2 linked regions of the Saccharomyces cerevisiae S288C genome follow. Changing the gene in region 2 together with the main gene of any one other region gives a genetic interaction. Each region holds a gene or a part of one and is shown on either strand. Other genes may lie near its edges. The genes, in order: HEH2 and NUP157.

Region 1 (4,144 bases), on a different chromosome or scaffold from region 2:
TTTGGTATGTCGCTCAATAAAGTAGCTCTTAGTTGAACTGTTGTCAGAAAAGGTTCTTCACCTTTGTTCTTCTTTACATCTTTCAATTTATCAATTGCCTCTTTTACCAATTTCTCAATTATCTGCTCTCCTTGAACGTAATTGTCAAGTGTCGATTGTATTTTTTTGATAAGGAAAAGGACGCCTAGGGTGATAAATAAAGAACCACCATATTTCGTTATATACTCCTGTATATCCCCTTCTAAATGACATTGCAACGTAACCCATTTTTTTGAAGTTGAACGATAAATATAGTTAGTGTTATTAGATTTAGATTTCTCTCTTTTTCCATTAGTTTCAAAATCTAATGGCAGCCAGATAATATCATCTTTTTTCTTTAATATTTCAAGCACATTTTTCCAATGATCATTGAATTCCCTTTGACTTTCCCATGACGGTCTAGAATGAGAGAATATATCATATAATTTGGTTTCCGTTTCACCACTCTCAAAGAGATTCTCTCCTTCACCACATTCATGTTGTGCATTCTTCTTTTTAAGATATTCATTTACTTTCCAAACCAGTTCATCAACCTCCTTTTCTTTACTTTCATCTTTGGCACAATATTTTGGAAAAGGAATAATACCATACGTTTCTAAAATAGAACTTTTAGGCTCATAGCCTGGTTCACACTCAACATTCATAAAAGAAGAACATATTCCATGCTCAGGACATTCGAGACAATTTGGTCGATAAGCTTGCAACACTGAATCTACCCTTTCAGTCTGAGGGAAAGCTGAGATTGCAAGAGATTTCAGGGGCTTTTCATGACCGCAATATCCTACTTGAATTCTCTGTTCTCGATACCAAAGACCAAAAAGAATAGGACATATTATTGAAAGGAAAATAGCACCATTCCATAACCAAATGAAGAGATGTGCAATAAACGGTTTCATAATATCTATCCCTCTTTTAGTTTTGTTGGCAATGAAGTGCCTGGTGCGACCTTTTGGACTTCGTATATTTTTTTTCGACGATAACCTACTAGTATCCTCTTCGTCTTGATTATCAAAAGTTTCTGATATTTTTGTTAGTTCTTCTTTTGCTTCCTTCACCTCAGGTTGGACTTCCAAATTGATATTCTCCATCACCTCACTTTCATTTCTTGTTTCTGCTCCAGTTGAAGGACCAACAGGCTCTTCTGTTTCGATTCTGATAGACGATAAGTCCGTGGATTTTATAGAATGATCATAATTCTCCGTAGCTGCACTAGCTAACTCTTTATTTAGTTGAGCTAAAAATTCGTTTGATACTTTTAAATTCGGCAATTCTGGTTTTGGAAGCTCTTTTACCCTTGGTTTGTCATCCGAAGAATCTTTCTTATGAAGTTCTTCTACAGTTTCCAGTTCAGAAGTTAAATCAGCAGAAGTTGCTTTCCCATCTGACTTAGATTGTGGAGGAGACTCTGGTGGTTTATTGGCCTTACTAGATCTTTTCTTTCTTTTCTTTTTAGGAGACTTCTCTTCCTGTATTTGCATCTTCGCTTCATTATCCGTACTAATTTGTTCCCTTTTCCTCTTGTTAGTTTCAACATTTTCATCTTTGACAGTTTTACTCTCACTAGAACTTGATTCAAGCTTTTTACTCTTTAATGTCTTTTTGCGATCTGCGTTTTTTGCCCCAGACTTCACAACCTTTTGAATGCTAGTTCTAACCTTTGAGGCCTCAGGTGAAGATTGGAGACGTTGCCTCACTTTCTCCTCAAACAATTTCACCAAGACAGGCTTCCTAGCGTTGGCAGGGAACGCAACATCATTTTCTACCAAAACTCTTCTCAATTGGCTGACCTTCAGCGTTTTCGGATCAAGGTTTCTGTGATCCATTGTCGATTAGTGAAGATAGGAAACTTCCTTTTCTACTATTATGTCCGTTAAAGTTCATCCTACCGTTTCTTTGCTGTTAAAATCTCTCTTCTTTTTTATTTTTTTCAAACTTATCTCTTACTATTTATGGAAGGACGATCAAGAAAATGTATATACTATCCCTTCCCCTACGCATACAGAATATATTAAAATGAATAGATAATAGAAACATATACCGATTGTAACATGAGTTTCGTCCCAGAATATAAATTGCTTGAAAAATTTAATACTATTTAGTAAGCAGGATCACTATCGTCACCAGAAGCCCGCAATGTGGCCAGATATTCTCCTCTTGATATCTTGTCCTCAATGGCCTGAATGGTGTAGTCACTAAGAGTTTCTTCATAGGGACCCAATATTTCCACTAGCGTTGTTTTTGAACCGCTTTTGCCATCAGATTTGCATCGAGATGTATAGGGCTTGCCTAAAGGAATTATCCACATAAGTATGTTAGAACCCATAAAGTCTTTTATATTAGCTAAGATTGACTTTTTGTCCCAGAAAGAGTGAAATTCAGATCTATCGAACTCTACCACAAACCTCAACTTGTTTGCTTCCGAGTAATAACAAAATATCTTCCTTGTTCCAAATTTTTTCCTTTTGCTATCTATGATAGCCTCCAAAGACGTCTTGTTTTGACTCATGTAAAAAATACTCGATGCCAACAAACTTGCGGTTAATAACCATCCAAGGATGGCAAACACTAACGTTGAAATTATATTTGCGTTTAAATTGGGGCTATAATTATGATTGTGTTGAGTAATAATTCTTATGTAAACGCAAATAGACACCCACATGATAAGTAAAAGTGTTGAAAAATAAGCAGCAAACTGCACAAAGAGTCTATAATTGTCTCTACCAATAACAGTCCCTATCCACATGCAGTAATGATCAAAGCGAGGAATGCAGTGGCCTAGTTCTGAAGAATGATGCGTTCGTTCCATTTTCAGACTTTGACATTCACTGCACCATATTGGGTATCCGTGAGGATCAGACTGATAACACTTAGGCGGAACCACAGCATCGTATTCCACTGAAGTGTTTTGAGAAGTGTTGCTAGTCTTCTCTTCAGAGGCTATAGGAAGGATCAAAAAAGGTGCTACGTGCGGTTGGGTACCTGGACCGACCAAGATAACTATTTGAAGCCATATGAAAATCACGACTACGTCTAGGAAGCATACCGCACAAATAAGACCAACCGAAACTGATTTCTGACGAAGTCGTTTGTCGACTTGCTCGTAACATAGTTTATGGCAGTAAGCCCACGTACCGTAGCACAGTAAACCGAGCACGATAATCGGTAAGATGAATCTAAACCATGACCTGCGCCTGATTCGAATATTCCATGATAGAGCCATTCATATACAACGGTTTAATTTCTGCCGTGTCGCGATGAAAGGACCTTAGCTAGGTTCTGAAAATATTACAACGGGCAGATATACGCCTAATTAGTTGTTTTGTTTGAGTGCTGTGTTTATGCTACTATTATTTAAAACGTAAATAGTGGAAAAAAAAATCGACTAAATGGTCCAAATCGGGCCGTTCGCTCGTAAATTTGTTCTTAAGCACTAATACTAAAGAGAGTATACAACAGAACAGACGCACAAGACAGCACTCATCATCAGCTAAGAAACTGAACTGCTTGTTAAAATTTGAGTTTGTTTCCTCTTAGGATTTGCAGCATTAGTGGGCCCCCGCACACAAGTAAATATAAGTGAAAGAAAAATGCTTATGGATGAGTATGAGGAAAACAAGGACATGTGTCCGATCTGTAAGACAGATCGATACCTTTCTCCGGATGTGAAATTTTTGGTGAATCCTGAATGCTATCACAGGATCTGTGAGTCGTGTGTTGATCGAATATTTAGTCTCGGTCCTGCCCAGTGTCCATATAAAGGGTGTGACAAGATTCTTAGAAAGAATAAGTTCAAGACCCAAATATTCGATGATGTGGAAGTTGAGAAAGAAGTTGACATCAGGAAGAGAGTGTTCAATGTGTTCAACAAAACTATCGATGACTTCAATGGTGACCTTGTGGAATATAACAAATATTTGGAAGAGGTGGAAGACATTATATACAAACTAGATCACGGGATCGATGTGGCTAAGACCGAGGAGAAACTACGCACCTACGAGGAATTAAACAAGCAACTGATTATGAATAACTTGGAGAGAAGCAGAACAGAGATAGAAAGTTTCGAACAGAGACAAAAATTCGAAAAGGAGATGAAATTGAAGAAGCG
Region 2 (3,600 bases):
TTCATTTAAATGCCATCGTCAAACCAATCCTAATAGGGCACCTGGCTCCAATGGTCAATCTCTAGTGTATCCTGTAAATAGCATTGCATTTCATCCATTATATGGTACTTTTGTTACGGCTGGTGGTGATGGTACCTTCAATTTTTGGGATAAGAATCAAAGGCATAGATTGAAAGGCTATCCTACTTTGCAAGCATCTATTCCTGTATGCAGCTTCAATAGGAATGGTAGCGTATTTGCGTACGCTCTAAGTTATGATTGGCATCAAGGCCATATGGGCAACAGACCCGACTATCCAAACGTCATTAGGCTACATGCCACAACTGATGAAGAGGTTAAAGAGAAAAAGAAAAGGTGAAATTCGTTCTTCGGATAGCTTCCGTGCGCAACCACATTACTTTTGTAATTTTTTATATTTGCAATATGTAAAAGATATATATTTTTTAATGATACAGGTTCTTTTGGAGAGAATAGGAAAATCTCTCTATACCTATTCAAAATTGATAAAAAGTTTTACAGGTTACACTGAGTCGCCGTTTTAACCGGTGGTAATGTGCAGACAATACTTTCATTAATTTTCATCTATATGTAGCTTTCTTTCCAAAGCACCTATGATCTTTTTGTTTTTCTTTTTGGGAACCACTTCCAAGGTTTTTCCCTTTGATTTAATTTTTTTTGTATTTGGTGAAGAGCTGAATGGATTTTCAGAAGTGGCGCTCAAATCGTTTAGAACCTTTCGTGCATCCAAATGAAAGTCGTCAAATGCAATTTCATCCTCCCTTTTTATCAGGACACTTTGCGGCAAAAATCTTTTCTTTTGATGGTTTGTCTCTATAATACTATCAATTTCAATTGTTAAGTCTTCAATGTTTTCCTTCCTTTTCTGTTTATTAGTGTAGTCAATATTATTGGGTATCAGTAATTGTCCTATTGGAAAATATTCATAATGCTTCTCTTGTTCTTTAAGTAGAATATTCTCCATTTTCCACGACTCATCAATTGCGGAATACACATATTTATTATAGCAACTAAGGCGGAGATTTTCATTCCAGTTTTCACTCATTTCCAACTCAAAAAGGAACCAAAGTCGTGAATACTTGATATCTCTTCTATTTTCTGTGCTACAAAGACAATGATCACAGGCAATATCATTAAGTTCTCTATCGAAAATTTTCTCTTGTAACTTTTTCAAATTACTTCTTGTTAGACATTCCGTTGCTTCTTCATTAGCGACATTATTTTGTAAATGCTGCGTATCTTTGTCTTCTTTTGCTGCAACATTACCGGAGTTTTGCTTTGGTTTTACCGAGTGTTCTTTATGATAACTCGATAAACAGTGTTCTTTTATGTTCTTCTTCGGTTGCTTTTCTGGGCTGGTATTGGATATCTTCCTGCTCAAGAATCGGGAATATCTTTGGAGTTTATTTGGGAATTTGAGATAGTTTGTGTCTTTATTTGAAATTGTTCTTTTTTCCCTCATTTTTTTTTCAGGAAACAAAAAAATTCTCTGAAAATGCTTTTGCTAGTAAATAAATATGGCTATGTTTCCATTGTTGAACTTTCCATGAACGTCTGGAGATTATTCTATTATTATAGTATTTGCTGATTAAAGTATTATAAAATTAGTGACACAAAATAGAAAGTATTACCCGACTTTGGAGAGGAAAGATTTCTAATGAATAATTTCCATCTGAATTTTGAATGGCTTTATAAATCAATAGAAGAAATTAAGAATAAAATCTGTTTGTAGGAGAAACATTTCACAAAAACTACAGCTCGGATTTCAATTGTGATGTATTCAACTCCACTAAAAAAGAGGATTGATTACGATCGCGAAACGTTTACGGCTTCGGCTTCCTTAGGAGGAAATCGCTTAAGGAATCGGCCAAGAGATGACCAAAACAACGGTAAGCCCAACCTGTCGAGCCGTTCCTTCCTAAGCGAAAGAAAAACCAGGAAAGATGTATTAAACAAGTATGGCGAGGCTGGAAATACTATTGAATCAGAACTTCGTGACGTAACTACACACGTCAAGATAAGCGGGTTGACTTCCTCTGAACCGTTGCAGTTGGCTAGTGAATTTGTCCAGGATTTGAGCTTTAGGGACAGAAATACGCCAATACTAGATAATCCAGACTATTATAGTAAAGGTTTGGATTATAATTTCTCAGATGAAGTCGGTGGATTAGGTGCATTTACCCCCTTCCAAAGACAACAAGTGACAAATATACCAGATGAAGTTTTATCACAAGTTTCAAATACCGAAATAAAGAGTGATATGGGTATTTTTCTCGAACTGAACTATTGTTGGATAACCTCTGATAATAAATTGATCTTGTGGAATATCAATAATAGTTCAGAATACCACTGTATCGATGAAATCGAGCACACCATTTTAAAAGTGAAACTAGTTAAGCCTAGCCCAAACACTTTTGTTTCTTCTGTTGAAAATTTATTGATTGTCGCCACTCTTTTTGATATCTATATTTTGACAATATCATTTAATGACCGTACTCATGAGTTGAATATCTTTAACACAGGATTAAAAGTAAATGTAACTGGGTTCAACGTTTCTAACATAATAAGCTACGAAAGGACTGGACAAATATTTTTCACTGGTGCGACTGATGGTGTCAACGTGTGGGAATTACAATATAACTGCTCGGAGAACCTATTCAATAGCAAGAGTAACAAAATATGTTTGACAAAGTCAAACTTAGCAAATTTACTACCTACAAAACTAATACCTAGCATACCCGGAGGAAAGTTGATACAAAAAGTACTAGAAGGGGATGCAGGTACCGAAGAAGAAACTATATCACAGCTCGAAGTTGACCAGTCAAGAGGCGTTTTACATACTCTATCAACGAAATCTATTGTCAGATCTTACCTAATTACTAGTAACGGGCTAGTAGGACCGGTCCTCATTGATGCTGCTCATATCAGGCGTGGAATGAATGCATTGGGTGTAAAAAATTCACCTCTACTCAGTAATCGAGCTTTCAAGATTGCCAAAATTGTTTCTATCTCTATGTGTGAGAACAATGATTTATTCTTAGCTGTTATAACTACTACTGGGGTACGCTTGTATTTCAAAGGTTCCATTTCTAGGAGATCGATTGGCTCATTAAAATTAGACTCTGTAAAGTTTCCTCCTACCAGTATATCTAGCTCCCTCGAGCAAAATAAATCTTTCATAATCGGTCATCACCCCTTAAACACACATGATACAGGCCCACTTTCAACACAAAAAGCTAGTTCAACTTATATCAATACCACTTGCGCTAGTACGATAATATCACCAGGTATATACTTTACGTGCGTGAGGAAAAGAGCTAATTCCGGAGAACTATCTAAAGGTATTACAAATAAAGCTTTGCTGGAAAATAAAGAGGAACACAAACTTTACGTTAGTGCTCCAGATTACGGTATATTAAAGAATTATGGTAAATATGTAGAGAATACCGCACTACTCGATACGACAGATGAAATTAAAGAGATTGTTCCCTTAACAAGATCTTTTAATTACACTTCTACTCCCCAAGGTTACGCCAATGTGTTTGCCTCACAATACAGTGCAGAACCATTAAAAGTTGCCGT

Evidence for each region.
Region 1: mutations in NUP157 (region 2) and HEH2 are lethal when combined (synthetic lethality), as found in Saccharomyces cerevisiae (one study listed by BioGRID).

The regions. Positions count from the first base shown.
Region 1 is NC_001136.10:1,380,185-1,384,328, forward strand, and holds the start of HEH2 (Heh2p), read right to left. Parts: upstream 1,863-4,144; coding exon 1-1,862. Other genes in the region: palmitoyltransferase PFA5, read right to left, coding at 2,135-3,259; TFIIH/NER complex subunit TFB3, read left to right, coding at 3,627-4,144.
Region 2 is NC_001137.3:370,206-373,805, reverse strand, and holds the start of NUP157 (Nup157p), read left to right. Parts: upstream 1-1,792; coding exon 1,793-3,600. Other genes in the region: RNA export factor GLE2, read left to right, coding at 1-358; MAM1 (Mam1p), read right to left, coding at 572-1,480.